Danio rerio: one gene and its partners. The protein of the gene in region 1 binds, or shares a complex with, the protein of each later gene. Links are inferred from orthologs where the notes say so. Each region holds a gene or a part of one and is shown in the gene's direction. Other genes may lie near its edges. The genes, in order: lin54, tfdp1a, mybl2b, lin52, lin9 and rbl1.

Region 1 (5,457 bases):
TCCCTTCATTCATCAGGAGTTGCCACAGCGGAATGAACTGCCAACTTACCAAGCATATGTTTTACACAGCTGATGCCCTGTCAGCTGCAACCCAGTTCTGGCAAATATCTAAACACACTCGTTCACACTCATACACTATAGCCACACATATGTAATATAATATAATATAATATAATATAATATAATATAATATAATATAATATAATATAATATAATATAATATAATATAATATAATATAATATAATATAAAGGTGTCACGGGGGCACAGTTGACAGCACAATAGCCTTACAGCAAGTAGGTTGCTGGTTCGAGCCTTGGCTGGGTCAGTTGACATTTTTTGTGTGGAGTTTACATGTTCTCTCCGTGTTGGCGTGGGTTTTTTTTCGGGTGCTCCAGTTTCCCCCACAGTCCAAATACGTTCTGTGGGTGAATTGGTCGTGGTGTATGGGTGTGACTGCAAGAGTGTGTGGGTGTTTCCCAGTGTTGGGTTGCGGCTAAAGAGCATCTGCTGCGTAAAACATATGCTGGATAAGTTGGCGATTCATTCCGCTGTGGCCACCTTAGATTAATAAAACGTGAATGAATAATAAAAAATAAATGAATTCAATTCAATTCAATTCAGCTTTATTTGTATAGCGCTTTTACAATGTAGATTGTGTCAAAGCAGCTTCACATAAATGGTCATAGTAACTGGAACAGTGTGGTTCAGGTTTTAGTGTAATAGAAAATTTACAATAATATAATATAATATAATATAATATAATATAATATAATATAATATAATATAATATAATATAATATATAAAAATATATAAATAGATATGTGGCGCAGTGGGTAGCAAAATCGCCTTACAGCAAGAAAGTTGCTGGTTTGAGCCTCGGCTGGGTCAGTTCTAAAATAATTATCATAATATTCCAAGTAAAAATCCATTCTTTTGCTTTTTTATTGAAGAGTTGAATAATGAAAATTCAAATGAATTAGTTAATTAGAAAACTAATTTTAGACGCAAAATTCTAAAATTAATTAATTGTAATATGTATTAAAATTATTAATATAAACACTTTAAAGACACTTGAAGAGTGTTCTCTTACAATTCCCAAATTTGTAAACTTTTGTTGTTGTAAACATTTTGTAATGTACAAATAATTCATTTAAATAACTAAGAAAATTGTGCAATTCAGATAACGATTTAGATAAACAGGAAAAATAACAATTATGAACATCAGTAAAAATATATATTTTTAATTATGCGCAATGCAAAAATTACAGTCATGGTACATACAAAGAATAAAGTTAGAAGCAAAACAATAATATACAAAGGAGCTACATTCATAAAGCACTACTGGGATAATAATAAACAATTTAAAAACTTCAGTTGTTTTAACGTCATTTTTGTCACAGAATTAGAATTAGTCTTAAAATAATGTTGCATTTCAGTAGGAAAAATATAAAAGAAGAGTTTCTGGTTTGTAAATTTGCATTTGTGTATATGAAATATTAAGAATACAACAGTAAAAAATCTGCGCGGAAGTTGTGTTGTGACGTCATGTGTTGTTTCCTACGAAGGCGTGGTTTGATTATGGGATGTTAGAGGTGAAATGGCGCTCGGCGCGGTATTTTAAACAATCGTCTTCGTCTGAGAGCGGATGATCGACAGGATGCAGCCCCGAGTTGGACCGAGCAGGTCGTGATCGAGCAGAAAACGTTGTGGATTTCAGAAGAGCGTCTCGACACTCATCTCGACCCCGTGTAGGAGTGCTTTGGGCTCGGGTGGGTGTTCAGCGAGGGGCAATATGATCTCCGCTAGTTAGCAGAGCTGCTAACACTGTATGTATATATATGTGTGAGTGTGTATGTGCGCGTCAGCTGATGTCCGTCCGCGAACTGCCTCAACCGCGCGTCACACACACAGCTGCGCTCGCGAATAATCGCTGCTAATAATTGCTCATCTTCTGCAACATAGACAAAACTCATATGAAGCTTTATAAAGGGCTGATGCGTTGCAGGAGTTAATAGTGGCTAACTGATTAGCACCCTAGGCTTTACCTGCCAGAGAATGACAGCAAGCTGCGCCTGTCATTTTAGTCTTGCGGAGAGCTGTTGCTTAGCAAAATTATTAAATGTCTGTAAATATAGAGAGGTTTTCATTTCTTGTATGCGTGTAATAGTACATCTATTTGTATCATTAATTAAAACATCAGGAATTACATAGTTCAGATCATACGTTTTGTATGAATTAAGATGTATTTGGTAACACTTAACGGTTGCCAAATGTTTTATTTGTCAATATTAGATAACAAAATATTTTTGAGCAATTTCTTTATCTTTGTTAACGTAACGTCAACAAATACGACTTTTGCATTTGAACATGTATTAGTAAGTATCAAGGTTAAGTTGGGTTTTATATTCGTACACGTATAAATATGACTACGTTAACATTAGCATTAGTTTATTTGACTGTGGACATTGTTGTATTCTGATAGCCATCGTCTGCTAATATGGTTAAACTATTTGGAATTTGCAGAAAATAACTTTATGAAAGTCTGAATGTGTGAATATAAAACCAACTTTACCTTAATGCAAATGTCATCTAATGGAACTGAACTAGTATCATCAGTAATCATCAGTCCAACTGTATCATTACTAATTAAATAAGCAAACGACTATTATCTAAGGCTAATAAACGCTAAATAATGCAAGTTATTGCTCTTTAGCATTAACAAATAAAATACTTTTGTGGACCACACCTCTCACTAAATTGTTTGAGTGTACATAGATGTAATTGTACACTTTAGGATATATAAAGTGTAATAATAGCATGCGTTAAGATAAAGAGAACATTGTAATGAGTTTTACCCTTGTTCAAAACCTGCATGACTGACTTTTCTTCTTCTACAAAGAATGACGTCATTTTTCACGGAATAGAAAAATATGCATTGAGAGTGAATGGCAAGGATGTCATTCAGATTACCATCATGCTATGTTGTTCCAGTGAAGAAAAACCTATGAGGGTTTTGAACGAAAATTAACAATTAATATTTCTAAGTCTCAAAACGAATACAGTGACGGTCCTTTGTACTTCTAACTCATTCTTTAAGCTCAAACTCTGACAAAACAACAAATCCTGTTGTTTTTTCCTCTTGTCCTGCGACTGTTTCTGTTATGTCTGAACTGATGACGAGATGAAAATGGCGGATCTTTCGAAATCCAAGCCCGGCCTGAAATAGACACGCAGCCCGCTTAACTCCTTTTAACAGGACTCCGTTCTGGAGACAAACATCCCTATCTGCAAAAACTCTTGAATATACGCGTACACATGAATATTTTAATGGCATCAGTATAGACAGGAAAGCAGACGCGTCGAATACCAACAAACTCCGTCAGATGTGAAACTGACAGGCTTGTTTTTAACTGTTGAGGTAAATAATTATACACACATTTATATTCTCAGGCATGCACAAAGAGGCTTATTGTTGTTTAACTGTGTATAAAACCCGTGTAAAACTGGTAAAACGTTTAGCGATTAAACGCATACATAGAAGTGCATTTCTGAGTTGTGTTTTTAAACCACTATTTTGTGAAACGTTTTTTCCAGCCACTGTCATTGTTTACCGATTGATAGTTTTCTGAAGCAAACTCTGGCTAGTTCATGTTAGTTGTTGCGGCTGTTTTATGTATTACTGTGTGTTAACTGCTGGTTAGCCGCTGTGCTAGTTAGCCACATAGCAGCCGAACATAAACAGATCGCCTGCTCTGGATGCGACGCGACACAACTTGTCGCGTCGCTCGTGTTGAGCAGTGTTTACTAAATATTAGGAATTTGAGTGGTCTACTTGACTAGTTAACCAACTAGTAACGTTAGTGTTATGTGATATTGATGCTGATGTGAATTATATCATGAGACCTGTTATTCAGAGGGCAAAAAAGAAGTTATGTAGTTTAAATGCATGACTATTGTTATATTCTCCATATGTAATATTAACAAAATATCTATTTTAAGTGTAGTACATTTACAGTAAACAGAGTGGTGATGTTTAATATTACATCTCATAAACTGCAGTAGTGCTGAACTTTTTTTGAGGTTGCTATGGGTGTAAATGTTATTGATTCATTCTCAGATTGTGGTTATTTGAGGTAACATTGTAAATAATGGAATCAAGCAGTGTTTGTTAGACAAATAAACACCACTGATGATTTAAGATGCACAATGGTTGAAAATGCTTAATTTATTTTGTTATAATCACAGTTAATGCCACAGAACAAGGAAATGCATTTTTCTGTGAAGACAGAAAGAAGAAAATAAAAGTAAACTAAAGGTCTTTTTAAATGTATATTTACATTACAGTATTTTAAACCAAAATGAAAGTTAAATAATAATATAAAGAATGTTTGGATATTATTTTCCCGGCATTAAAGATCATTTTAAATCTGGAATTGATCATTCTTGAGTAATCGCATCCAAAATTTATAGTAAACATACATAAAATAAAAAAAAAATATGCAAATCAAATATTTAAAAATATATGTTTACATCATTTGTATTCTAAACATTTAACATACAAGTAAAGGCATGAAACAATAACTCAAATATACGGCTGCATGCATGTATTTAATATACACAGCGCACACTAAAGTAAAAATAGAATTATTTTAATAATGTTTTTAATCATGTGAATCATGTAATATTTCTGTATTTAGTTAAAACGTTTAAAAATTAGGCTTTTTAGTGATATACAATTTTTTAGTTTAACTCCTTTTTTATTGATGCATAATAGTCAGTTACAGTTTCAAAAATAATGAATCAGTCGCACCTCAGTTGTTCCAGTCTATCAACAGATAACAAAATTAGTTCACATTTTCTTCCTCTGAATCAAAAATATTATTATAAATTTTTGCATTAAAAACAATATTTAGGGCAAAATACAAATAAAAAATGTAAAATAATAATTATAATGAGATATATAGAATAATATTTTAAATAAAACTAACAGATATTGGGTTAGATTTTCTGTATTGGGCCATACAGAAAACATATAAATACAAATATATAAAATAGCCATATTTTCTTATAGGGTATGACAAACTGTTTGCATTAAACAAAAGTATGCATCACAAGTTTTCATCTTTGGAAAAAAAAACTTTGTCTTCAGAGAATGACTCTAGAGTAAAAAATAAATTACTTTTCAAAAGCCCAATAAATCTCATAAATTATTTTTTAGCATTTTAAAACAAAAAACTAGGAATATATATTTAAAAACTACATTTAATATTACTGTATTTGTAATCAAATATTAGTACTGCTCTAAAATAACTTCTTTAAAAAATGTCTTAGTGAAAAACAACATCTATTTTTCCCCCATTGAACACAATACATTTCATTTTAGGAAACCTTTATAATATTTTGGAACAGTAAACATGTCAGACTATTATTCAAATAAATCATTTACTTCAGCTT
Region 2 (4,967 bases), on another chromosome or scaffold:
CACAGATATTGCTATTTTTGATTTGATTAGCTTTTTAATTTTGTAGTCAAGCTTCACCTTAATATTCTGTATTGTAGCTTCTTACTACTAAAATGCTGTGAGTGTTAGTTAAAAAAGGAACTGAAATATGAACAAACTCCAACTTCTATTCAAATTTATTTATAAATATTTAGAAATAAGACACACGGTTTTAGCAGTAAGTTATGGCATTAGTTATCTCCTGGTGGTTTTGTAATGTTTTTTTTCATATGGTGAAACAGCTGCAAACAACTTAGAAATTGTACTTTGCTTTTGATAGCTACTAGATTCATTGTCACTAGCAATACCCTGTTAACTTTTTTTGCGAGACACTCCTCATATAGCCACCTGTGATGCTTTTTTAGGTGCCTTTTTGTTGTATTTCCTCGTTCTGTGGCTGCTCTAACAAATGACCTGTTTTTGTTCGGTGTCCCTGACTTTGAAACCAATATCATCCCATGTTACCAATATGAATTAATCTATTAATACTTCTGAAGCATCATCCCACTGTTCCACGTTTTCCTGTTTGTTTGTTTTATTATGGGCTTCCACAGTTCAGTCGCATAATTCTGATTGGTCAGAACACAAGCGTGCTCACTTAATTGTATCATAAGACTGTAACACACAGACAGCAGTCACACATTTGCTCTGGGTGGGTGTTACGAATTCCAATCTTGCTTGGCTCCACACAGCAAGCCAAACCCGTAACAATAAATAATATTAAATAAAAATAATTAGAACTCTTCTAAATTAATTAGGAGCCTGCAGTCTCATCTCCAGTTCAAAAGTAAAAACAACAACAAAGACAAATGACCAAGGAAATAACATATAGTCAAATTTATTTGATGTTCAACTTCAAAAAGGAGACAATAAAAAGCTTGCGGAGGTTAATGCCAAAAAAAAAAACTGAACAGCTAACTAAGTTTTTAACCCTCTTACCTGCACATGAAATAAGACAAATAAAATAACATTCTCTTACTTCCTTACTAACCACAAAATATGAGGAAAATGTAATAAAACAAAAAGGCACCCTCCTCAGCACACGTGTCTCCGCATAGATCTCAGAGTCAACAATCAGCATTCACTTTCAACTATTTATCCGAGTAAAATACAAAGTTTCTACTTCACAACACAAGGCGAGAGAGAGGAGACTCTCCGAACGACATTCCAGTCCGGTTTAAATGGTCCTCACCAACTAGCCGGCCTCCACATGCTGGCACCTGCTTCACAACACCTGTGCGGTAATAATGAAACCTATTCGGAGAAAGAGGCGGAGAGAAAACACACAATTACAAACAAAAAAACACTACTTGGGATATTTATTTATATTATTATTATTTCTATAGTATTATTTAATTTTTTTAAGAAAATACGTAACAGTGGGGGAAATTCTATTGATACATTTAATTTCAATTTCATATCTCAGCCTCTCGAGGCGGTGGGGCAGTAGTTAGTGCTGTTACCTCACAGCAAGAAGGTCGCTGGGTCGCTGGTTCGAACTTCGGCTCAGTTGGCGTTTCTGTGTGGAGTTTGCATGTTCTCCCTGCCTTCGCGTGGGTTTCCTCTGGGTGCTCCGGTTTCCCCCACAGTCCGAACACATGCGGTACAGGTGAATTGGGTAGGCTAAATTGTCCGTAGTGTATGAGTGTGTGTGTGTGGATGTTTCCCAGAGATGGGTTGTGGCTGGAAGGGCATCCGTTGCGTAAAAACTTGCTGGATAAGTTGGCGGTTCATTCCGCTGTGGCGACCCCGGATTAATAAAGGGACTAAGCTGACAAGAAAATGATTGAATGAATCTCAGCCTGTTGCGATTTAGTTGATTCCAACGTTCTAAATCGTGGTTTGATTTCGATTATTCGCACAGCTGTAAGTGTTTTAAATTTAGTAAATTTCTCATTGTAAATATATCAAATACAAAACTAAGTTTAGTAATATGCATTGCTGACCTCATTATTTAGACAAGATTTTTCACAGTATTTAGATTTTCTTTGAACTGTTGGTTTTCATAATTTCAAATAGCTTTATGTCAGCGAAATATTGCCCTATCCTAACAAACCAAACATCAATGGAAAGCAATTTTTAGACAACTTTCTGGTGAGGTTTCAAAAATGTTAATGATAATTAATGTTAATAATTGACAGTTATGACTGGTTTTGTGATCTAGTGCCAGTTTGTATTTTGTGAATTACCACTAAAGTTAATAATGATTTTGCTAATGGAGTCGTCGAGTTATGACATACTTTCATATATTTTTTTTAAGGCAGAATATTTTTACTTCACCTTGTACATTGTATAAGTACTTTGGATTTTTTTTTAAAATAAACTCTTGCTTTGCTCTCTTTTCTCTATCAGCAGTTATAATTAAAAAATATCAATAATTTGCTGTTGGATCTGTTGTTCTTCAGAAAAAGGGGTAAGAAGGGGGAGAAGAATGGGAAAGGCCTCAGACATTTTTCCATGAAGGTTTGCGAGAAGGTCCAGCGGAAGGGTGTCACAACTTACAACGAGGTTGCTGATGAGCTTGTGGCCGAGTTCAGCTCTGGTGATAATCATATCTCTCCTAATGATGCGGTGAGCCTTCCCCTGCGGCCAGACATTGATTCAGAGCATTTCTCGTTGAGTGCAGAAGTGAAGCTTTTAAAACCAATTAAAGACTTGCTTCTTAACATATATAACATGATAAATAAACCAACGCTTTTGGTTTCTGCTTTTTTCAGCATGTGTATGACCAGAAGAACATTCGACGGCGTGTGTACGATGCTCTCAATGTGCTGATGGCCATGAACATAATTTCCAAAGAGAAAAAGGAGATCAAATGGATTGGTCTGCCCACAAACTCTGCTCAGGAGTGCCAGAACCTGGAGGTGGGTGTACTGGTACTTTTTCACTAAAGTTTATGTCCCTTCCTTTAAGACAGTTAGAGAAAGTACAGGCAATTAGAGTTTAAACTAATTGTACTTAAACTGAATGTTTGGTATTTTTAAAGGTGGAGAGGCAAAGACGTTTGGAGAGAATCAAACAAAAACAGTCACAACTTCAAGAACTTATATTACAGGTCAGAAATTAGTCTTTTGTTTTGTAAGAATTATTTTATGTTGATGAACTTGACTAACACACTGTTTTAATTGCAGCAAATTGCTTTTAAGAACCTTGTACAGAGAAACCGCCAGAGAGAACAACAGACAAAAAGGCCCCCACCTGCCAACTCAGTCATTCACCTGCCATTTATTATCGTCAACACCAGCAAGAAAACAGTCATTGACTGCAGCATTTCCAATGACAAGTATGACTTCAAGTCAAGCCATGTAGATTGTAGGTGGATAAGGGTGTGCGATATTGGGGAGAAAATATGTCTTGATGTTTGTTTGTTTTGTTTTTTTTTTGTCATAGTTTTTGGCCATGTATAAAGGAAAATTACTCTAAACCTTTCAGTAGGTGAATAATTGACTCACTTGTTCAGACGATTAGTTTAAAGCATGTATAGTTTTCAAGATTGCATGTTTTGCTACTCTATAGTTGGCGAAAAGATTGTATTTAATATGTCCAAATTCACATTACTCCACAAACTGATACTGATGACCTACTACTTGTGGGGAGATACTCAAGCATGGTTCTTAAGCTTTACCATACCAAGAATGGCAACATTTATGAATGGAAAAAAAACAGCACAAATGATGTTTCTAGTTCAAATTACATGATAAAATGTTCGTTTTTATGCTTTATTCATACCACATAAATTATTATTATTTAGAACATGCCTTTTTAGCATTCATAGTTACATTTCATATATAAAAAGCATATAAAAAACAACAATATTGTCATCGGAAATGTAACCCATTCATTGATGAAATTATTTATGTTAAAAGTTTTTTTTATATAGACTTGGGGGATCATTTGAATTTGATCACTTTCAGCCCAGATTCTTGCTGATTCCCAGTTTGAGATGAATTAACTTCAAGCTGTCATGCACTCAAATAAGCAGCATGACAGAAGTAAAACTTGTGCATAAAGTTTAGTGCAGTGTTACTGGTGCAGTTGCTGTATGCTGCATAGCTCAATGTAGATCAAAGGTTAATGGTTTGCTGGTACTGTTCACTAGCCAATGTTAATTTTTGCACATTTAAATTGTATTTAATGGGTTAGTTCACCCAAGAATAATTTTATTTAATGTTTTCATACCCTTTAATTTATTTTAAACCTTTATAAACTCCTTTATTCTGTTGAATATGAAGATATTCTGATGAATATGAAGATATTCTGAAGATCAGTGGTTACAGGATGTCCGCATTCCTTAAGATATCTTTGTGTCAATAGTTACAGGTTTACAACTTTTTTCAGAATATTTTTGGATGAACTATCTCTTTAAAGCTCATAATAGGTTTTGTGATACATAGAAGAAGAAATTGTCTTAATGTATATTAGAATCCATAGTCAAATGCTTATTTCATTTTTTTCTCTATTGCTTCCATACTAGTGATTAAATTAACATGTTAAGTCCTGACAGATCACAAAGTAAAAAAGTATTGTGCGTATATGAATCAATCAGCGAAGTCGAGTGCTATCCTTAAGTATTCTATTCCAGAATGTAAAGCAATTTTTGCTTCCCAACACAAGCAATATCACAGTTGTTTGGATTACAGGGCCATGCAAATTTTAATTCAGCATTTTTTCCGACTTTATGAAGACTTGTTTTTTTATATATATATTTTTTTCCAAGTTGGCAACTTTCTATATCATCAGCTCATGATTAAAACAATTATGATTGTAGATTATAAATATTGCACATTCTTATTTGTGGGATGAATTAAATCTCGAAGATCTTCACTTCATGCACTTCACTCATTGCTTCCTTTTGTGGTTAGGTTTGAGTACCTCTTCAACTTTGATAGCATGTTTGAGATTCACGATGACATTGAGGTATTGAAGCGCATGGGCATGGCTTGTGGTCT
Region 3 (4,967 bases), on another chromosome or scaffold:
CAAATAAAAGTCGTTGAATATTGATTAGGGAAAATTAAATGGCATCATTGAAGGTGATCATATTGTGTTTTTTTTTTATAATATATATTTTTTTTATCTTGTATCTCTTAAAATGTTGGAAAGTTAAATGGATCCAATCCTTGTTTAGTAAAACTACAGTAATCAACAGACAAGAATGGGTGGTGTTCAATAATTTTAGGCTATTTTTCTTCAACTTTTTAATCTAATTCAAATGTCGACTCCTATACTTTAGTGCTGTATGTAATTGACAGATATTGGCATCAGAACTGGAGGGACATTTATTTTCTTTTATTAAATCTGTATTGGTATCAGCCCAAATATTTTACTTTTGGTTCATCCTAAATCGATTTATATACCCTCATTTGTTGACAGGAACCTGAAGAGAAAGCCACTGCTCCTCCACAAAAAGCGTCATCTCCCAAAACCCCCAAAGCTTCAACGAGCCCCAAAAGTGAAGGCGGAGACTCCAACGTGTCCACGTGGGTGATGGACAGCTCTGGGTTTCTGTCTCCGTCAGCGGCTCCCACACTGAAGGAGGTGATGGAGCTGATGGACGGGGTGAGTCAAGCCTGATTTAGATCAGAAAATCACTATTAGAATTACAGCCGGTTGCAAAATGTGCATGTAATGTAGTCACAATAAGTAATATCAAATGATTGTGATGGGTGATGTTATGAAGCCACGTATTCGTATTTCTCAGTGACCGAAGTCGTCATAGTTGGTAAACTCAGAGCACAGTTAATGGGAGAGTACAACAAATCATTATTTTACAATTCTATTTGCTGAATTACTGAAATAAAAACTCCACGATGGTGTTATCAAGACGTTCAGAAAGAGGAAAACAATAGTGTGAGACTGATAACGGCAGCCAGAAGAGAGAATCATGTTGAATGTTGTTACTGTCCTGCCGCTATAGATTCTGCATTACCCCTACTGCTCATGCGAGGGATGCGTGTCACGATTTCGATTTTTAATTGAAATTTATGCTCAATTTCGATTATCGAATCAAAAAATAGAATCGTCGATGCTGCCACGCCCCCATGTCACATCAGATTGGCTTGCCAAGCGGGAAAAAAACAGGCTTGTTGAAGAGCTTGTTGAACTGCAGATACAGGAGACCCGTCGACAGAGCTTAAACCCTCTCCTCTTTCAATGAAGTCGCCGGTGTTTAAGCATTTTGGATTTCCAGTGAGTTATGTTGACAACGTTCGTGTTGTCAACAAAAAAAACACAGTTTTGCAAGCTCTGCTATGTACGTATTACGTACGGTTCGTCCGATAGACAACACCGGCATCGCGATCCTCCGCCCGCCCCCGTTGCAAATCCGCTGGCGAAAAGTTCACACTCAGGCCCTGTTTACACTGGCTTTGTTTTTAAATGGCATTTTAGAACAACAACGATTTGACATCCACAGTGGCGTGTAGCATTTCTGAGCAGCCCTCCTTCCTCTCTACCTCTGAAAATGCACATCACGTGACCACACAGACGCACACGCAGCCATGCGCTCGAGACTGCAGGTCCAGGCAGTCAGAGGACTGCTTCAATCTTTCACTCACTTGTACTCAGTCATTTTAGCGAACACCTCAGATACTGTTGGCTGGTTCCTGTTGGTTGTGCGTCTTTTTTACCGACGCCATTATAACGACACAGATCACTGCCTATTCACGAGTCCCGCAGAAAAAGTGATTGACAGGTGGTAATTATGTGTGTATCTTGCCTTTATTCATTTACTGTATGATTTGTTTATGGGTAAAACAAAGACCATGCAGGTCAGGTAGTTTAAACGGTAGGCTACCAATAATTAATTGGTCATTAATTAATTATTCATAATCGAAAATCGAATCGAATCGTGACTTTAGAATCGAAAATGTAATCGAATCGAATATTTGGAGGATCGTGACACCCTTAATGAGCTGTAATTCGTTTTTTGCAATTGAATACAAAGATGATACTATACATATAAATGTTCCCGTTTAAAAAAAAAAAAGTAAAAACTTTCAAGGATTTAGGATGCCGATGAGCGTCTTGTGAAAAGGGTCTAATGCAAGTGCACACACTGCAAAATCGATGCGTAAATGATATATTGTGCAGCCCTACTTCATGGGACTATTAAGTGTGTGTTGGACTGATCAGAGTGTGTGTGTGCGCAGGATCTGGAGGGCTGGTGTACCATGTCGGACTTCGACCTGCCGGAGGAGAGCCAGAGCTCGGAGCTGCTGCAGTTTCGTCTGGAGGGCAGTGCACTGCAGGAGCTCAGCAAGGGCAGTAAAGGAGAGCTGATCCCCATCTCGCCCGGCGGAGCCACTCCTCCATCCATCCTGAGTCGCCGCAGCCGTCGACGCATCGCCCTCTCGCCAGACCCCAATGACTCTATGACCCCAAAGAGCACGCCGGTCAAGATCCTGCCCTTTTCCCCCTCACAGGTGGGAAAACGCAACACAACACTAGCCATGTTTCCATCCAAAGATGCAAATTAAATGTATGCGCAAAACTGGAGTATGGCATAAAAGATTTAAGAATAAAGCAGCGTTTCCATCCAACGAGTCTAAGATAACAAAATCATCACTTCCTCATAAACTGCCGCCAAATATCAAAAGAAAAACAGAAGTTACAGTGTTGGGCTTTTTTTTCAGGGTTCCCACTGGTCCTTAATAAGTCTTAAAATGTCTTAAATTAAAATCCGGGAAATTAAGGTCTTAAATTGTCTTAAATTTTACCGTAAAGTGGCTGTAGATATTAAACTTTCAGCCGGTGTGCTTAATGACAATAGGGAAGCACAGTGGTCCACGGTAAAACATCTAATAGTTGATTAATTCAGCACTTGTAAAACTACAAAGTATAGACGCTTGCGTTGGTCTGCACCTGCGTGCTGTTATTATGCAGTTGTTGATGTGTCAATGCAAAGATGGGAAATTGTACATTTAACAACGTGGCAAAGAGGCAATGTGTAAATTCTGCAAAAAGACTTTTTCGTTAGGGACCATGGGGCTCAAAGTCGTCGAGTTGCACATGAAAGGAGGAAAGCAGCAGCGGGACGTTGCAGCAGCTAGTCATAGCAGGTCCAGGTTAATCCCTGCATTGTTTGCAGCTCGACCTAACAAAGTTACTAGTTACTAATGTTAGGCCTATAGCCAATGTTATGAATAAGTAATGTTAACCCATATAAACGACTCATTCATGAAAAAAGACAAAAGAGCTGTGTGCCTGTGCACATTTGGATAATGTCGGACTCCAAACAGGTTTGGGCTTTTAAAAGCTGTCAATCAAAATGTACCTGTGGGGTTCGGGCTCTATCGGGCCTAACTTTTATATCATGATTACAGCTCTAGTTCAGACGCCCCTTCACAGTCAGCTATAACAGTTTTATTTCACCACCAGACACCCAAAAGGCTGGTACTGCGGGTTATCCATACTGTGACGAGGCACAATTTATTTAAATCTAACGAGAACATTAAAATGAGTAGCTTATTCCAAAGAGATTATACAATTTTTGGGTCTTATATTATATTTGTTGAGGTCTTTAAAAATGTCTTAAAAAGCATTAAATTGTACTTTTAAAATAGTGCAAGAACCCTGTTTTTGTATATAATAATTTACTTCCGTCTTAGAACACGTAGACGAAACCCACTGAGCGCAGTAATGTTATCTTGCTTTTGGAGGCAGGATATCATCTTCAGATATCATCTCTATCATCACTGCTTTTTCGTATTTAACATTTAAAACCTTTCAGAGCTCATCATCCACCTAAACATACATGCCACTTTCCGCCATTTTTATCATCACATGATCTGTTGAAACAAAATCACATGAATTTTTTTTGTGTGCTGGAATTTATTCGTTTCCATTGTAGTTAATGCAGATTTTTTTATATCAGATAAAGTTTATCCTTCTCGGTTGTGTGCAGAATCTTTTTATGCAATGTATGCACATCTTGGCTTTTTCATTCAGTTTTTTTTTTGCGATTAATCCAAAGAGTGCATTAAAAATAGGTGGATGGACACACAGTGGCGCCCCCTGAGAAACTTTTCTTAGGGGTGGCCAAGTAAGACCACACCAAATCTTGGGATGGCTCACAAAAAAAAAAAATAATGAGTTGTGTATGTACTGTGAATGAGTAATGTTATATTTTTGTTTCTGGTAAATTAAATAATGAAGTTTTAATTAATTCCATTAAATACTCTTGTAACATTGTAATTTATTCCTTGAAATAATTCAGCAAGTACACGAGCAAACCAAATAATTATCAATATTTAGTTTAAAGACACCTTTCAGGCAAGTTATTTTTTACATGCTTTTATTGCACAACATACAGTATATGCCATGTCTAAAATTAATGGATATTAATGAAATAATTAATAAAACAAACCAGCAAAATAATGGAGCTGCTAAATAAACTAAATATTTATTTAATTAACTAAATAAACAATTTTTTTATTTAATTTCTGGTTTTCAATCGGATAAAACAAATGCATTTCAATAATAATCATTTCTTAATAAAAAGTGTGCAATATCAGTGAATCAGCTACGCTGATCAATCCACAATATTTAGTGGCTGCATTTTATTTATTTATTGAAATATTGTGAATTTGCGTACATATATTTTAATTAATAATATCAACAACTAAATCATATTGGGTGGTCAAATATTAATGTTGCATCACTGCTTAATATGGCTGTCAGATCATTGAAACTGTAATCTTTTATTTATTTTTTTGACACTATGTAATTTTGAAGAAGGTAATGATTCGCACTCAATTGCTTCGTACTGTTTTTATTTGTACTTTTTCTTATATTTTATGGATGATAACAGACGTTTCGGCACAAAGCCTTCCTCAGTGTGTGACACAATTCTCTAACTCCACCCTTTTATTCCATAGTCAATCACAATGTGCAATTAGTTAAACCGTCACTCTCATTTCATTATCCATTAATCACACAATAACTTA
Region 4 (5,543 bases), on another chromosome or scaffold:
GTCTGATTTTAGGCTGTTGAAAATTTTTAAATAGTATTTTTGTATTGTATAAAATTACGATATTTTACAGTCATGTATTTTACATAAAAATCTGATGTTGTGCAACTGCTGTAGCTGGACTGAAATAAATTTATTAAAAAAACATTGAAGTGCCTTTCTAGTTTTGAAGATGCTGATGTATAAAGCATTAACCTTTTTGTTTGTATTTAAATCATTTCAGTTTGAGAATGTTTAATAGCATTTCTGTTTTAAAACTGTAATGTAATGAGCAGTCTTTCCTGAAAAGTTCAGTTGAGTTCGTGTTTGAATTGTTGATAAAAAAATTGTTTGCAATATTGTCTTTAAATTATTGTCTTAAATGCAAATTGTAAACAGACTGACTCAGGTGCATTTATTTGGATTTAGGTTGTGTTGCATTTGATACCAACACATTTTCTGGCTCAATTGACTGAAAATATATATGTTTTTCATTAATCACCAACATTGTAAGAGCTCTGTATTTATACTTGAATTTTACTTATTTAATTTTACTAATTATTTTATTTTTCCAAGTATAATAAAGTGACCTTCTGTCTTTTAGAGACATGATCTGTACAGAGGTGTTGATAGTTATTTCTTCAACCAGTTTTACAATACCATCCCTTTTTTAATGTCTTTTAAATGGGCCTTTTCGTATAATGCTATGTACAAAGCATTTGAAAATGGGTTGATCAAAGTAATAATGCTACAGTGAATGAATGATGTTTCTTTAGTGTTTTAAAATAAATAAAATGAACACTCTGTTAAAAATATTGATATGATACGTTAAAATGTGCTGAAACTAGACTTGTTTATGTTTACCAATAATTTTTATTTTTGGTCTATTTATAATTACTGCCTTTTTTGTAGCTGTACAGAAGTTTGTTCTGCTGTGTTTTTTGGCCTGACTGAGTCTTGAGTCTTATATTATATTAACACTATCATAATACTACTCAAGTACTCTGTATGAAAGCTAAACATATTAATGTTCGCATATTATTCATATATATTTTTACTTATTTTGCAAGAAAGAACGTTATCAAAGACACAGTTTAAACAAATAGACAGAAATGAATTCATAATTAAAATTCCAGCAAATTAAACAAGTTTAAATGATTTACACCAAGAAAGTGTTTTACATGCAATATAACTGTTAGGGTCTTTTAAAGAGTTCACATATAAAGTAATTTCTTAAAATAAAAAAGTAGGGTGTTTCTTTGAAAATTTACATTTATCGATGTAAATTTTAGGGGGGGGGAAACAATTAATTACAAATTTACAAGAATTCAGAAAGTATCTAAAGAATATAATTTTTTGTGGGAAATACAAAAGTTTGGAAATAATACAATTTTTGTGAAATTGGAAAAGTCAACCCAAATGACTTTACAATAAGTGCACTCCCAAAATAGGCCAAAAAGATTTAGTGTTTCACCATATTGAGTACAAAATGAGCATTTGAAGGAAATATTGTTATTAAATTTACCTAGTTTGTTGTTTATTGGGTAGCAATTATGAATGATTCTGATTGAGACTTCAACAGCTTTATTAGATAAAAATATGTATTTTTTCCGAATACCATCCAAGATCAATATCAAGAAAAGGCCATTAAAGACCATTAAAGAGATCAGAGAACTGTTAACAATAAAGAGAATCACTTTGTTTGACATAGAACTGAGAAGAGTTTGGTCAACAAAAAGGTTTGTGCTGTCAATAATATTTATATTCATATTTTTCAGTCAATTATTGCGACATCATTTTACAACATAAGAGGGTGTGGCTATTTTATCCAAGACCTCCAGTGATTGGCTGCTTAGAATCACGTGTGTTGTTGTCAAGATGGCGTCTCCGAATGGAGGTAAATTTTAATTCCTCTTTTCCCTGGCAGCGTTAGTTGTTAACGCAATAGTGCAACGGACTAATTAAGTCATATAAATCATTATGCGGTTTAGCATATTTTTTATAAAGAACTGATGGATTCTGAATCAAAATAAGCTTTTCAGTCGGAATAGCGTCATAAAATTGTTTGGAGCCAGTCATTAGCAAAGCTACGTGTCAGACGACATCAGTTGTGTAGTAATAATTTAATACGAATGTAATAGTGTAGTAAATACGCGAAGACATATTACTTTTGGTGTGTCGTGATTTTATCTTTAACGTTAGTTATGTAACTCATTATTTTGTGACAAGATTACTCAATGCAGCTAGCTCAGCTTTGAGTAACTTAGCAGCTGAGTAAACATAATATCTCTGTCATAACATCAGCTTAATTTTACACCTTGAATAATATGTGACAGAAGATTTTTTTTTGTAACGTCATCTAAGCTGAGTTATGTTAAAATTGAAATTGTGTATATTTAACATTTTTTATTGTACTTCAGGTTTATTGATCCTGTTGCTGATGAGTTTTCTCTGACCATAGAGCATTTATCTTTTTAATGTGTAGGTGAGGACTTTGAATCTTCTCTGATAAGTTTAGAAAATCTTGACCGGGCTTCACCTGACCTGTGGCCAGAGCAGTGTAAGTTTGACTCTCTAATCTTATTCAGTTGGACTAATATTTATGACACATTAACATATTTTTCCAAATATATGTAAAAAAAAATGCACTGATTGAAATATAGAAATTACATTTGATTATTACACATTGTCATATTTTTGAACGCTTTGTTTTTAACAGTGCCGGGTGTGTCAGAATTTGCAGCATCCTTTAAAAATGTGAGTAAATATTCAAATGATAATGAATACTTTTCAAAGTTGATGTGAAATTAAGGCTTGGTTTTTGTTATTTCAGCCTATTACAAATTCTCCACCCAAATGGATGGCTGAACTGGAGTCAGAGGATATTGAAATGTTGAAAGGTCTGCCTTTTTTAAAGTAGTATTCATATCAAGTCTTTTAATGTATCATTTAGTCTTTTATCTATGCTTTCTATATATTGCTTAGTAGAATAGGTTAATAATAGTTAGATGAGTTGCTTGGTGAATTCCAGGGTGTCCGCGCGGTCTTAAAAAGTCGTAAAATGTCTTAAACCTCAAAATTACATTTTTATGTCTTAAATTTACTGAAATATTGTGTTGTAGTTCCTAAATGTTAAATTAAATTTTTTTTAAATTAGGTCTTAATTTTCCTTTGTTTATGTATCGCTACGCAGTCTGGCCATTAGTCCTATACGATCACCAACAATTCATCTCAATAAAACCTTTTATATAAAAAGGTGATTTTTAACTCTGTTTACCATAACAGTTTTATTATTTTCCTCAAAATACATAATATTTGTTAAAAAGTGTTCCATGTATTTGCTGCTGAGGACACCGACCTGGACAGATTGTTTTGCATAGATTTAGTTATATTAAAACTTTAAAAACATTAATTCATTTTTTATTGTAAAGAAAGTTTATGTTGGAAAAATAAAGTGTATGTATACAAGTAGAGCTTGTTTGTTTTTAAACAATATTTGAATATTTTTATAAAAAATATCTAAAATATTTATTTTTTTATTATTAAATTATAATTGTATTATTAATATATAATCGTTTTTTGATGGGGCAAATGAAAAATCTTTTCCATCTGGGCCATATGAAAAATTCCTTAGCGATTAGTCCTTTATGAGTCTAAAATTTCATTCATAAGGGTCTTGAAAATGTCTTGAAGTCTTAAATTTAACTTTGTGAAACCTGCAGAAACCCTGGAATTTATAAAAGCTACAGTATAATATTTTGTTTCGGTTCTGGTCCATTTTTATTTTATTTTTTGTAACTTGTTTGTTGTGGCTTTTTTTTTTTTAGAATTAGGAAGTTTGACCACAGCAAATTTGATGGAAAAGGTGAAGGGTCTGCAGAATCTGGCTTACCAGTTGGGCTTGGAGGAGTGTAAGTAATGTCTTACTCAACTCAGAAATAGTGCATTAGTTCACACTGTTTATCTAGTTACGGTATATTGTAAGTCATCCACTAGATGGCGATATTAGAAAAAGAATAAAACTTACTGACAAACACAAACCCAGCTTTTAATACATAAAGACATTTTTCATGTTTTTTGCCGCTGTGATATTTAGGATAGAGTTAAAAAGACAATACAACAAATAATTCATTATATGTAGTCTGGAGCCTAAATCCATCTGAATCCTTGTGTGGAAAAAACACTTATTTGTTATGTTCTATTCGTTTATTTCAGTCTGTAAGTCTCAAATGAATTCCCACTCTATATTTAAACAGAACTGGCTTGTTGCCCAGTGTCTCTGTAATATTATATCACAGAATTGCTAGATGTAGCATTAATCCACGCAGGCAGGATTACAGGAAAGATAAGTGTTTCAGTTATTTTCTAGATGAAAATGGGCATCGAAACATCGCACAATTTGAAAGCGAGTACTGCAGACCATTGGTGAACACTCGTTTCAGATGTATTACATTCCTTCTGCTGATTTGACCTTTGTGTGGCATGTCCCTCAGAAAGCCCTCAACAAACTATGCTTCAATGAGAAAAATCAGTCAAATGCTTTTCTGTCTACTTGATTTTTACTCTACTATTTTGAATAATTTCCATAATGTTACAGAGAGAGGATAAAAAAAGCATCAGTTAATTTAAATAATTCAAAGATATGCATTTATATTGATTTAAAATTAAGCACATGAACCATTTTATTTGATAAAACTCTTACATGCACAACTGTTTCAATAACGTTAGTAGTTTTTAGATTTAGATTCATTCAGATTAACATTTTAATCTCCTCAAGCACTTGTAATATTACTATATTTGTGAATATGAAATTCACAAACTTAATAAAATGTATGATGAAACCGGTATCAATTGAATAATGGTTCTTATCATGGTAAACTGAGATCACATTATTATATTACTTCTCTTATAATTTCTTAGTTGTAAATATTACCTTTTTATTACTCAGCAGATATTTAAGGGACAGTATACGTTACATTTAATTTTTTTAGTTTCATATATGAGTAGCTTGAGTTTCTATATCCATCATGTCATATCTACAGCATTGTATCTGGGTTTAATAAGCCACATTTGGATGAAGCTTCCATGCTGCCTTTTATGCATACATTAATACAGTGTGTAATTATACATTTAGTCTGCTTGCATTTAATATCATTGCAAACCCACTTCAATCAAACTAGGTGTAATAAGTCAATCTAGATGTCTCCACCTCTAGTCATTGTGTCCTCTGCTTGTTGCTTGTTTAAATGCTCTCTAGGAAGGTAACACAATGCAAAATATTTGTTCATCTTAACATGAGTAAGAAAATGAATTTCACACAATGTTAAGCAATTCACAGTGCGTACATATTATACAGTGGGGAAAATAAGTATTGAATCTGTCACCAGAAAGCATATTTCTAAAGGTGTCAATGATGTTGGTAACAACCAAATAAATCCATACATGCAAATAAAACAAATCTAATTAGTTTACAAATTGAGTTATGTGTAATAAATTGAAATGACACTGGAAACAATATTGAACACATGAAGAAAGGAAGCCATAGAAAGGTAATGAAAGCCCAGACT
Region 5 (5,693 bases), on another chromosome or scaffold:
CTTTGGCAGCACATTCCCCATTGCTCTAGTCTGTTAGTTTGGAGTACTTTAAGTGGTTCTACCCAAATCACAAACTGCATTGTTGCAAATGTGGCCACCTTTCTACAAGCAACATGATTGGACTTCTCTGTGAAATGTTTCTTTATAAGCTACCAACAGTGGATAGGTAGACTGTCTTCCATATGTTTCATAGGCCTTTTCTTTCTTTTAATAGTTTTGCTAAACCTGGATTCAGGTTACTTGTAACACATGTAGTGTTTACGGTTTTGTTCGGCCTCTCGATTTAAAACAAATAAGAATGTACAGTTTTAGGAAAAAAATGTTGTAAGCTAGGATATAGCCTGCTGCAAGCGAGTAATCTTTTACTAGAATTGCCAATGTATGAACAAGTATTTTGTATGTTAAACATGTACCAACCTAGTTTTGCTTTTTTGAGTTTACTGTCCCTTATTGAAACGTACTTGGGCCATTTGAAATGGCTATCAAAATCTAAGCTGCTGTACTCACGCACCTGTAATAAGTTTTGTTGTTGTTTTTGGCAAACATTTCTCCACAGTATTTGTGGACAAAATAAGTTTCCCAAAAAATGTCTTTGCATCAAAAATAAAACGGTTTTTGGCTTATTATTGTGCTTGAAGCTGTTTTATTTTCGGGGGGTGGTATTTGATTGCAAAAATGTCCTAATACAACTAAATACAAGTAAATAAAATCATACTAAAAAAATTTAATAAAATCAGGGTTTACCACTTTTGATAAATAAAATTCACTACAATAACCTTTTTTGGTCAAAAAATATAATAAAATATTTTTTTTTAATGTGTTTTTTATTATTAAATATTTATTCCAATCATTCAAAACTGAGGGACAGATGAGTTTTCGCATTGATCCCAGGGGCCAGCCTGATCACCCGCTAGTGACCTACACCTGCAGCTTCTCTGCGATGGACATCCAGCGTTCTCAAGCCCCGGTACCTAGCATGCAGCTCTGCACAAGAAGTTTGGCCAGAGGAGAAATAGTCATGCTCAACTGAGCCTGGTTTCTCTCAAGATTATTTTCCTTCACTTTCATCAATTGGTGAAGTTTGGTTTCTCGCCACTGGCTTGCTTGATTTGGGACTTGCGGAGATATGGATCAATGGATTTGCTCTTTAGTGTTTGGACTTTCAGCAGTGAAAAATTTAACCACACTGAGCTGAACTGAACTTCTACTCTGAAAACTGGACTGACACATTTTTAATTCACTAGAACTTCTACATTAAGCTGCTTTGATACAATGCACATCATAAAAGTGCTATAGAAATAAACAAGTTTTCAGCATTAGCATACTTCTGTGTTCGAAGTCACATGATTTTCCTTAAACTATTGTAATTCTGCTAATTTGAATTGAGATTATTTTTTCATAATATTGATGACATTTGAACTGTATGGTATTTTGTGGAATCTTGTGTATTTCAGGATCCCTTGATGAATGGGAATGTCAAAAGAACAGCATTTAGTTTAACTCAGATGACTCAATTTTGTTGAACAAACGTTGATGGGAAAATAAAATGTTAATAATATACTAATTTGTAGTGAAATGTGTACAAACACATGCTAAATGAACATGATTATTATATAATACTTGTTTTAAAATGTTAAATGCAGTACAATTAGTTTGTCATTCTGCAACTTGGCGTTTGTTTAATAAAATTGTAGTTAGTGTAAATATGTAATGCATCTAAAATATTTAATACATAAATATACAGTTTACACCTTGTTTATGTTCTTTTTGTTTGTTTGTTGGTGATCCTGAGATCCTTTAACGGGCCCTGTGTCTCATAGGAGTCACTGAACCACAGCTGAAGCCTGGTCCCGACGACATCTTTTAACTTGTTTTGTACGGCTTGGAACTACAAGAAACTTTCTCAAATGAATCTAATTTACCTCATGGGTCGTAATTTGTTTTTAAGAATCATATTTATGTACAGCAAACACATTTAATGTAAAATGTTTTGTTAGTTAGCGAGCGCTGTGGTGTGTTTGAACTGCCCTCTCTGTCCCACAATGCATCTCGGCACTCGGCCTTTGAAAAACCGGCGCGGCTAATTCAAGATGGCGGAGCTCGAGCAGCTGTTAGACGAGAGTGAGTAATAAAACTAACTCCTCGCTAAACCTTGAAAAATCCCCCTCTGAGTGTTTGTGCGGTTTAAAACGTTTCATAAGGCGTGCTATTCGCCGTACATTTCACGTGTCTTTCATTGTTTTGACTGGTGTTAAAATAGACGCAAAGTTATTAGCGCTGAGGCTAACAAGCTAACAGTTAGCTTTCAAAGCCTACTACTATAAATAAATATCGCACCTGAAGAGTTTTTCGCCTTAAAGTTTCGTTATGGTGCTTTGTTTATAATCAAAATTAATTTAATTACTGGTTTGCGGTTTCGCAGTGGTTATACTATGAAAAGGGTTTAACTTTTATACATTTACAGGGTCGTAACTCGATGACAGCTGCTGGGTTTTGTTGTTCTTGTCAGTGTCAGTTTATTTGTGTACTAAAACACTGTCCGTATGATAAACACATACTTTTAATATGCTGAAACACTCTTCAGGTGTGAAAATGCGCTCTTTGTATGATGCAGTACTTGTGTCTGGATAATTCTCATTCATCACAATAATTCACAGTGATTTTTTTCTTTCGGTCTTACCGAAAGCTTTGTTTTGATTGTATTAATAGGGATAATTGCGTAATCCGTCGTCTGTTATCTTGCTTGATAATTATTACTTTTAATATTTGAGCAGCTTATAATTGCAGAAAGATTATTATTTATTTCTAGCTTTGCTTTATTTAAAGTATCAAAACAATAAAAACATATTACAGCTTTTTTCACTGAACAATAAAACGTCCTGCTAAATTTTAAGCATAAAAAAGGCTATCATACATTTTTACAAGGATTATCAGAAGTAAACCACTAAAATCTTATTGGTGTAACAATAGTTTATCTCATCAGGCTTAGATCAAGAATCATATGATGTCATTATTCAAGAACAATTTAAGAATGGCTGTGCAGCTCTTTTAAATACTAATTTTCATTTTAAATCTTTATATTTTTAGTTTTATTTTATTTCAAACCACATTGTTTGATCAACAGAAGGTTCAAAACATTCTACAATGAAATGAAATTAAGTTTAATAGCACATCATTTTATGAGTACAGGTCAGAATGTTGTGTTAAATTTAATAAAATGTAAAAAGGGCATTAATAAAAAAGGGCATTATTTCCAGCTGCAACCCATCACTGGGAAGCACCCATACACACTCATTCACACACATACACTACGAACAATTCAAGGTCACCCAATTCACCTATAGCGCATGTCTTCGGAGTTGTAGGGTAAAACGGAGCACCCGGAGGAAACCCACGCGAACACTGGGAGAACATGCAAACTCCACACAGAAATGCCAACTGATCCAGCCAAGGCTCGAACCAGCAACCTTTTTGCTGTGAGGCCTATTTTTCATTTTAAATCTTTATATTGTAACTTTTTAATTTCAAACCACATTTTTTTTGTCAACAGAAAGTTTAAAATAATCTAAAATTAAATGAAATTAAGTTTGATAGCACATAATTTTATAAGTACCGGTCAGAATGTAGTATGATATTTAATTAGAACTTAAAAATGCCTCTTAAAGTAGACCATTATTTCAACCATATTTTGATATTTTATTACTTAAGTTATTTAAAGCATTAAAGTCAATGCTTTTCTTCTATTTATATAAGTCAGTTAGGGTTGTTTTATTTTTACAATAAGTAGTGTTGTAAAAACTGACAGTCGTATTCTTTTTTTAAATCTTCTTTTAGTAGAATTTTTCTTACAGTAGTCAAAGTCAGCTTTGTTGTCAATTCAACCACATGTACAGGACATATAGAGAATTAATATTGCGTTACTCTCAGACCCCTGGTGCCTAACATATAATATTTATACAAAAAGTATAATTTTAGAAAGAAAATACAATAAATACAATTGCTCATTTAAAATCTGAAAATATAAGTAAAAATAAAAATTTGTAAACAACACAATTACACTTAAGGGCACATGAGTTGTGCAGATGCAAAACAGTATACTGTGCAAAAAGTATGTATAATAAAAAACATAATAATACAATACAAGATGTTTTTATAAAGCAATTTAAAAACAACCAATGTTGTCAAAAGTGCTGTATATAGGATTACTAAAGACAGAGATGAGAATAAAGTGGAAATTGAAACAATTAATAAATAAAAGCAATAAAAAGCATCAAGGAGTATTAAAAAATATAGATAGGAGCAATTGCAAATGCTTGATCACCTCGTTTTGTTAAAGCATGTTTATGAAGTTGATCATCTAACATCACTAAGTTAAAAATAAAAACATTTCAAGCTTTCCTATTTCTGGGTTGCAGCTGAAAGGGCATCCAGTTTGTAAAACATATGCCGGAATAGTTGGCGGTTCATTCCGCTGTGGCGACCCCTGATAAATAAGGGAGTAAACCGAAGGAAAATAAATAAATGAATAAAAGAAGCGTAAATTCTTTTGTTTTTTGTTGTTGTTTTTTTTTAAAGCAACTTTAAATGTAAAACACAAGTGTAACCACCACTTTATATTGCCTTGGGGCTGAACTATTGTAATACCATGCACTAAAACCACCTTTAATCTGCCTGATAATCGGACTTTACTTCAGTGTTGCATTAATTGATTTTCAAGATTTGTTTTTGTTTGGACTTCTTAATCATATGTTGCTTTTGAAACTGTAATGTATTGTAATATATCAAACTCTTTGTTCTCTTCGCCTTCAGGCTCTTCAGCTAAAGCCCTTGTTAGTTTAAGAGGTACGTTTTTGTTTTTAACACTCACAACTTCAGTAATAGACATTATCACAGAATGCCTTCTAACATTTCCCAATGTTATTATGCTCTTCTACAGAAGGAAGCTTGTCTAATACTCTAAATGAGAAGAATAATTTACCGAAATCTCAGACCACAAGGGGACGGAGCAGTTACGTTTCTATGGAAACAGTAAGTTGCTGTAAATTACTTATAATTTTGCTGCAACTCCAGGTTTGCTTGTAGTAGTAGCAGTTTTACATCTAAGATTGTCTTTTGTGCTGTGATTATTTTGTGCTGTGATTACTGTGTTTGTTTACTGCATTTAAATATCAATCAAATTACAGCTGCTTGATTATGGGAAAAAAATCATAATTATTTTGATCATAATTGTAATCACAATTATGTAAAACAATATATATATATATAGTTGAAGTTAGAATTATTAGCCCCCGTGTTTATTTTTTTTCCCCCAATTTCGGTTTAGCGGAGAGATTTTTTCCAACACATTTCTAAACATAATAGTTTTAGTAACTAATTTCTAATAACTGATTTATTTTATCTTTGCCATGATGACAGTAAATAATATTTGACTAGATATTTTTCAAGACACTTCTATACAGCTTAAAGTGACATTTAAAGGCTTAACTAGGCTAATTAGGTTAACTAGGCAGGTTAGGGTAATTAGGCAAGTTATTGTATAACGATAGTTTATTCTGTAGACAGTCAAAAAAAAATTTAGCTTAAAGGGGCAAATAGTTTAGACCTTGGATTGAATTTGGAAATGGATATTCTAGTCGAAATAAAACAAATAAGACTTTCTCCAGAAGAAAAAATATTATCAGACATATTGTGAA
Region 6 (4,967 bases), on another chromosome or scaffold:
AATATGGAAAAGAAATAGTGATTTGAAACTGATCTTGTAGTAATTAGATTTTTGCTATAACTGTATTTGAATCAAGACTTTTATGGGTGAATTTTCATTTAACAAATGCAGTCATACACCCTAACAATTTTTACAATTTAGTCTTATTTATTCTATACTTTTATTGCTAGTATATGAATACTATTTGTAGATATATGTCTAATTTTGACTGCTTTTGCTAAAAATCTCTGACTTATAGTTCCAGCTGATCTCATGACATGAATTCTGCTTTATTTCAGGTAATTTCCACATGATCGGAGATGATTTGGTCAACTCCTATCACCTCCTCCTCTGCTGTCTGGACCTGGTGTTTTGCAACGCTCTCATGTGCTCCAACAGGAAAGATCTCATCAATCAGAATTTCAGAGGTAAAGGTCACCTTTTATTCATCTCAGAAAATATGTTTGCTTGACTGATTGAGAAGACAGACAAAATTACAAGTGAATCCATTGATTGCATTAAATATATTTGAGTGTTTTAAAGCATGCCTGTGTTGTTTTGATTTACACTCTTCAGCGATTCTGAATTTAGTGTCTTTCCCTCACCGTAATATTGCATTGTGTTTGCTTTGTGTCTGAAAAAACAGGTAAACACTTCACTGAACATCTGTTTTTCACCTTTCTGTAGGCCTGCCGAAAGACACAGAAAACCTGAAAGAGATGCCCTGTGTCATTGACAAGTTGTGTGAACTGCATGATGGGTTGGTGGTGGAGGCCAAAGGCATAAAGGAGCACTACTTCAAGCCCTACATAAAGACCCTGTTTGAGAAAAGAGTGAGGAATATATACGCACTTTGACACCCAAAACAAAAACAGCACAATTCCATATATGACTGCATGCTTTGTAGAAAAAAAATTTAATTACAGTTTTTCTTTTCAAAATGACGATTTGCGATTACTTCTGTTTCATAAAAGAACTACAGTTTAATGTGGTGGTTTTAGCAGAGCCACAGAAATACTAAACATAATTAAAAAAAAAACTACAGTATCCTAAATTAAATAAATTAAATATAAAATTTTAAACTTTAAAGAATTTAAACAATGTAAACAATTGTACATCATTAAAACACTGGTGATAACTAGGGCCAGACAGAATTTGTTGATGTTTTTTGGCTATTTCTGCTGAGAACTTTGTAAAAAAATTTGTGGATTTATGCAGAATTATTTTGAGAGTATCATAACTAAAAACATTAAAAAAAACATAAAAAAAATAATATATATATTTTTTTTTTCATTTTCAAAGTCCTTTTATTCCTTTTATACAGAGGAATGAACTGCCAACTTATCCGGCATATGTTTTACGCAGCGGATGCCCTTCCAACTGCAACCCATTACTGGGAAACATCCATACACACATACTCTGCGGACAATTTTTATCCCAATTTACCTATAGCGCATGTCTTTGGACTGTGGTGGAAACCGGAGCACCCGGAGGAAACCTACGCGATCAATGGGAGAACATGCAAACTCCACACAGAAACGCCAGCTGACCTAGCTGAGACTCAGCAACCTTCTTTCTGTGAGGTGATCATGCTACCCATAGCGCCATCGTGCAGCCCATATATATATATATATATATATATATATATATATATATATATTTTTTTTTTTTTAATATAATTAATTGAATTATAAATGCGCGGTAAGAGTCGTGCACGTAATATATTCAGATATCATAGCTGATCTGTGATAAATGCCGTTGTGGAAAGTCACTCTACAGACACACTCGTGTCAGGGTTAACAAGTATCCCTTTAATAGCGATAGAGGAAAGGAAATTTATGTACTGTCATCATTGCAAAGATAAAATAAATCAGTTATTGGAAATGAGTTAAAACTTTTTTGTTTTAAAATGTTTTGAAAAAAAATCTCTCCAAAATTTGGTGAAAAATAAATGGGGACTAAAATTTCAGGGGGGCTAATAATTCTAATTTCAGCTCTCTCTCTCTCTATATATATATATATATATATATATATATATATATATATATATATATGTATATGTATATACCTTTTAACTTTTATTTAATGTTTACAATGCAAATCCAATATGATCCACTTATTTGTTAAACAGAAAGTCGCTCATATAGTATACTAAATACACAAAATATAACTTTACAAACTGTTTTGTAACTAAATTATATGAACATTTTCATGTTAGTCAATAATATTAATGAAATGAATGTTTATTTAGTTTTTAAACTTAATTTACTTACATTTACACTATGAATTGACTGAATGATGGGCTAAAAAATCTGCGGAAATCTGCAGATTTCTGCATGTGCAGATTTCGTGTGGACCTAGCGATAACCTACATTACTGTGGACAACCTATATAACAACGACAGCAAATGTTTTTGCCTTTTAAACTGCAAAGAACATGAATTCTAAACCAAAGGGTCAACAAGAAAAGCTGCACTTCTAGATTATGTTACTTTTTTACATTGTTCAGGGTAATGTGCTTACCAACTGTCAGAACTGTCAAAAATTTTATGTTTCTTATTTATTAGTGCATTGAAATAAACACTGCTTTTGGGATTTGAAATTTTTATTTTTTTATATAGTGATTTCGTTTTAGAAATGTCTAATTGTGCAGGCCTAATTCTATATTTATAGCTTTTGTTTTACCTCCTTATATTCCCAGATGTTAAAAGGTGATGTTGAAACTCTGACTGAATTACTGGACACTCCAAATTTCCAAGATAACAAGTACGCACATTCAATTTCTGAACACATTGCTTTTCCATGCAAAACGTTGTATGCAATTAAATGCTTTTGAAAACATTTTTGTCTTTTCAGTAAAGCCATAAATCGTGATTATGAGGAGTTTGTTTTGACTGTGGGGGATTTTGATGAGCGAGTGTTTTTGGGGGCTGATGCAGACGAGGAGATCGGCACACCGCGCAAATCCACCGCTGAACCTCCTTCAGGTCATCTCTCTGCCCGCATGCAGGTGGAGAACAACCTTCAGCAGCACTTTGAGAAGGTATGAAGAAAAGTAGTTAGATTAACAGTCACTGTAATTACAGTATTTATTAGGGGTGTGATGAGATGCTTACTCCAGGAGACAAGATTGGTTTCAAGAGAACAAAACAAGATTTTGGCAGTATTTTAAAGAAATCTTGAATGATAAAATATATGAATGGAAAATAGTCTTTTATTCAACTGAAAAAAAATCACAAAATGCAAAACCATATAGGTGCTTTTTTAAATCAACTTGTAATGAATGTTATTTTAATGACTTCTGTGCAGTAAAGGACATGCCAACACTGCAAAATATGTTGCTAATATTTGAATGGAGAGTAGTCTTTTTATACATGACTATTTAGGTGCTTTTTAAAGGTGCTGTATGTAAGTTTTTGACTTTTCTAAAGCATAAAAATACCATAATATGTTTGCAGGTATTTAAGAAACATGCTAAGTGAACATAATTGTTTATCTGAAAAACAATGAATTCAGATATTCTACTTTAAAATTGTGAGTTACGTGCAGGATTGTCTGTCTTTGTTTTGTTCATTTATCCCGCCCAATGCCAGTTTAGCCAAATATATTTCAGCACCCTGGGTTGCTTTAGCGCAAAACCATGTTTTTCATTCATTTATTTATTCATTCAATCTGGAAGCCTCAATACCCATGACAAGCTCAGAACTACTGGATACAATTATAAATTAAGTACTGATAGGAGAGAGTTGTTTTAAAGTGACTTGATACCGCATGAATGAAAAGATAACTTCTTTTCCCGGACAGTATAAAGCTGTGTTCGCTGATGATGCGACAAGCCTCTAGGAGTTCCCCGTTTGTGTGTGCGCACAGAGATGTGTGTGTCTGGTCCTTTAGTGACTCAGTAGATGGAGGGAATTAATGTTAAAGTTCATTTAAAGTTAGAGAATTTAAAGTTAGAGTTAAACAGCTGTGTATGCATGGCTTATTCTGTTGCAAAATGCAGCTAAAAGTCCTACACGATGGTAATAGTTTAATCAAGGTGTTGACATGTCTGTACTGCACAGCAGTAATGTGACTGAAATAGGAATACTTTACGGCTTAACATGTCAGCTGTAGCCTCTGCTCAGACCGCAACCTTCGATGGAAAAAAAAAAAAAAGGTTACGTCACACCCGCCCAAGCAAATGAGTGACACGCAACATCGAGGCAGCCCTGGTTGCCAGGTGTGTGCAAAGCACTTGAATTGCGGTTCATATCCAAACCTGCCTCCAATCTTCAATGCTAATTTCACCCTCACGCTCCATCATAACATAACTCACGAGACAACTTAACACCTCTACGAGAAATCTTAACGGGATTTAATCTTGTGATACCACGTGATATGGGACCTCATTACACCCCTACTATATATATATATATATATATATATATATATATTTGCATCTTCTTCCTGTTTGTGTGCAGACGCGTTCCCTTGCTCCCTCTACTCCTCTAACGGGTCGACGGTATTTAAAGGAGAAGGAAGTGCTGGTCACGCCTGTTTCTTCAGCCACCCAAAGTGTGAGTCGACTGCAAAGCATGGTGTCTGGTCTCCGAAACGCACCGAGCGACGCTCTGCTTCAGATATTTATGTAAGTGTTTGCTAAAACCAAAACATGCACTTATAGTTTTAGATTTGGTTTTCTTGCATTCCTTTTTTTAAACTTGTTTTTGTGTCAGATGTGGACACAAATGTGTATTATGACACAGGAGACTGTGAATTATGAGGACATTGCTGATGTTTACATTTTTCAAAAGGTTTAGAAATCATACAGAATGAGCTTTTTCAGAAAGTAAAACTGCACATTTTTTTTGTAAAGCGTGGGGTTGGGGAAGTGCCATCTCAAATACAGTTTGTACAGTATAAAAACAATAGAAACCTATGGAATATCCCCACAATTCACAATAATAAACCTTTACGTCTATTTAACCATTCTTCATTTTCTGTTCA

The links.
Region 2: lin54 (region 1) and tfdp1a share a complex: the UniProt entries of both Homo sapiens proteins name them as parts of the DREAM complex. The link is inferred for Danio rerio from reciprocal best matches to the Homo sapiens genes LIN54 and TFDP1.
Region 3: lin54 (region 1) and mybl2b share a complex: the UniProt entries of both Homo sapiens proteins name them as parts of the DREAM complex. The link is inferred for Danio rerio from reciprocal best matches to the Homo sapiens genes LIN54 and MYBL2.
Region 4: lin54 (region 1) and lin52 share a complex: the UniProt entries of both Homo sapiens proteins name them as parts of the DREAM complex. The link is inferred for Danio rerio from reciprocal best matches to the Homo sapiens genes LIN54 and LIN52.
Region 5: lin54 (region 1) and lin9 share a complex: the UniProt entries of both Homo sapiens proteins name them as parts of the DREAM complex. The link is inferred for Danio rerio from reciprocal best matches to the Homo sapiens genes LIN54 and LIN9.
Region 6: lin54 (region 1) and rbl1 share a complex: the UniProt entries of both Homo sapiens proteins name them as parts of the DREAM complex. The link is inferred for Danio rerio from reciprocal best matches to the Homo sapiens genes LIN54 and RBL1.

What each region holds. Positions count from the first base shown.
Region 1 is NC_133185.1:12,007,755-12,013,211, reverse strand, and holds the start of lin54 (protein lin-54 homolog), read left to right. Parts: upstream 1-1,570; 5' UTR 1,571-1,829; exon of another isoform or gene 1,830-3,421; intron 3,422-5,457. UniProt on the Homo sapiens protein: Component of the DREAM complex, a multiprotein complex that can both act as a transcription activator or repressor depending on the context. In G0 phase, the complex binds to more than 800 promoters and is required for repression of E2F target genes.
Region 2 is NC_133184.1:36,652,144-36,657,110, forward strand, and holds part of tfdp1a (transcription factor Dp-1a), read left to right. Parts: intron 1-138; exon of another isoform or gene 139-1,142; coding exon of another isoform or gene 1,143-1,272; intron 1,273-2,423; coding exon 2,424-2,589; intron 2,590-2,735; coding exon 2,736-2,882; intron 2,883-3,004; coding exon 3,005-3,073; intron 3,074-3,149; coding exon 3,150-3,301; intron 3,302-4,880; coding exon 4,881-4,967. Other genes in the region: mettl21cb (S-adenosylmethionine-dependent methyltransferase domain-containing protein), read right to left, coding at 1,143-1,272. UniProt on the Homo sapiens protein: Can stimulate E2F-dependent transcription.
Region 3 is NC_133186.1:1,639,675-1,644,641, forward strand, and holds part of mybl2b (v-myb avian myeloblastosis viral oncogene homolog-like 2b), read left to right. Parts: intron 1-393; coding exon 394-579; intron 580-2,171; coding exon 2,172-2,444; exon of another isoform or gene 2,445-2,865; intron 2,866-2,926; exon of another isoform or gene 2,927-4,212; intron 4,213-4,967. UniProt on the Homo sapiens protein: Transcription factor involved in the regulation of cell survival, proliferation, and differentiation. Transactivates the expression of the CLU gene.
Region 4 is NC_133192.1:33,275,540-33,281,082, reverse strand, and holds the start of lin52 (protein lin-52 homolog), read left to right. Parts: upstream 1-1,842; 5' UTR 1,843-1,854; coding exon 1,855-1,873; intron 1,874-2,461; coding exon 2,462-2,536; intron 2,537-2,695; coding exon 2,696-2,733; intron 2,734-2,809; coding exon 2,810-2,876; intron 2,877-3,803; coding exon 3,804-3,887; intron 3,888-5,543.
Region 5 is NC_133195.1:46,994,499-47,000,191, forward strand, and holds the start of lin9 (protein lin-9 homolog), read left to right. Parts: upstream 1-2,052; 5' UTR 2,053-2,090; coding exon 2,091-2,121; intron 2,122-4,809; coding exon 4,810-4,842; intron 4,843-4,936; coding exon 4,937-5,028; intron 5,029-5,693. UniProt on the Homo sapiens protein: Acts as a tumor suppressor. Inhibits DNA synthesis. Its ability to inhibit oncogenic transformation is mediated through its association with RB1. Plays a role in the expression of genes required for the G1/S transition.
Region 6 is NC_133181.1:54,212,644-54,217,610, reverse strand, and holds part of rbl1 (retinoblastoma-like protein 1), read left to right. Parts: intron 1-278; coding exon 279-407; intron 408-666; coding exon 667-812; intron 813-2,679; coding exon 2,680-2,744; intron 2,745-2,834; coding exon 2,835-3,021; intron 3,022-4,441; coding exon 4,442-4,608; intron 4,609-4,967. UniProt on the Homo sapiens protein: Key regulator of entry into cell division. Directly involved in heterochromatin formation by maintaining overall chromatin structure and, in particular, that of constitutive heterochromatin by stabilizing histone methylation.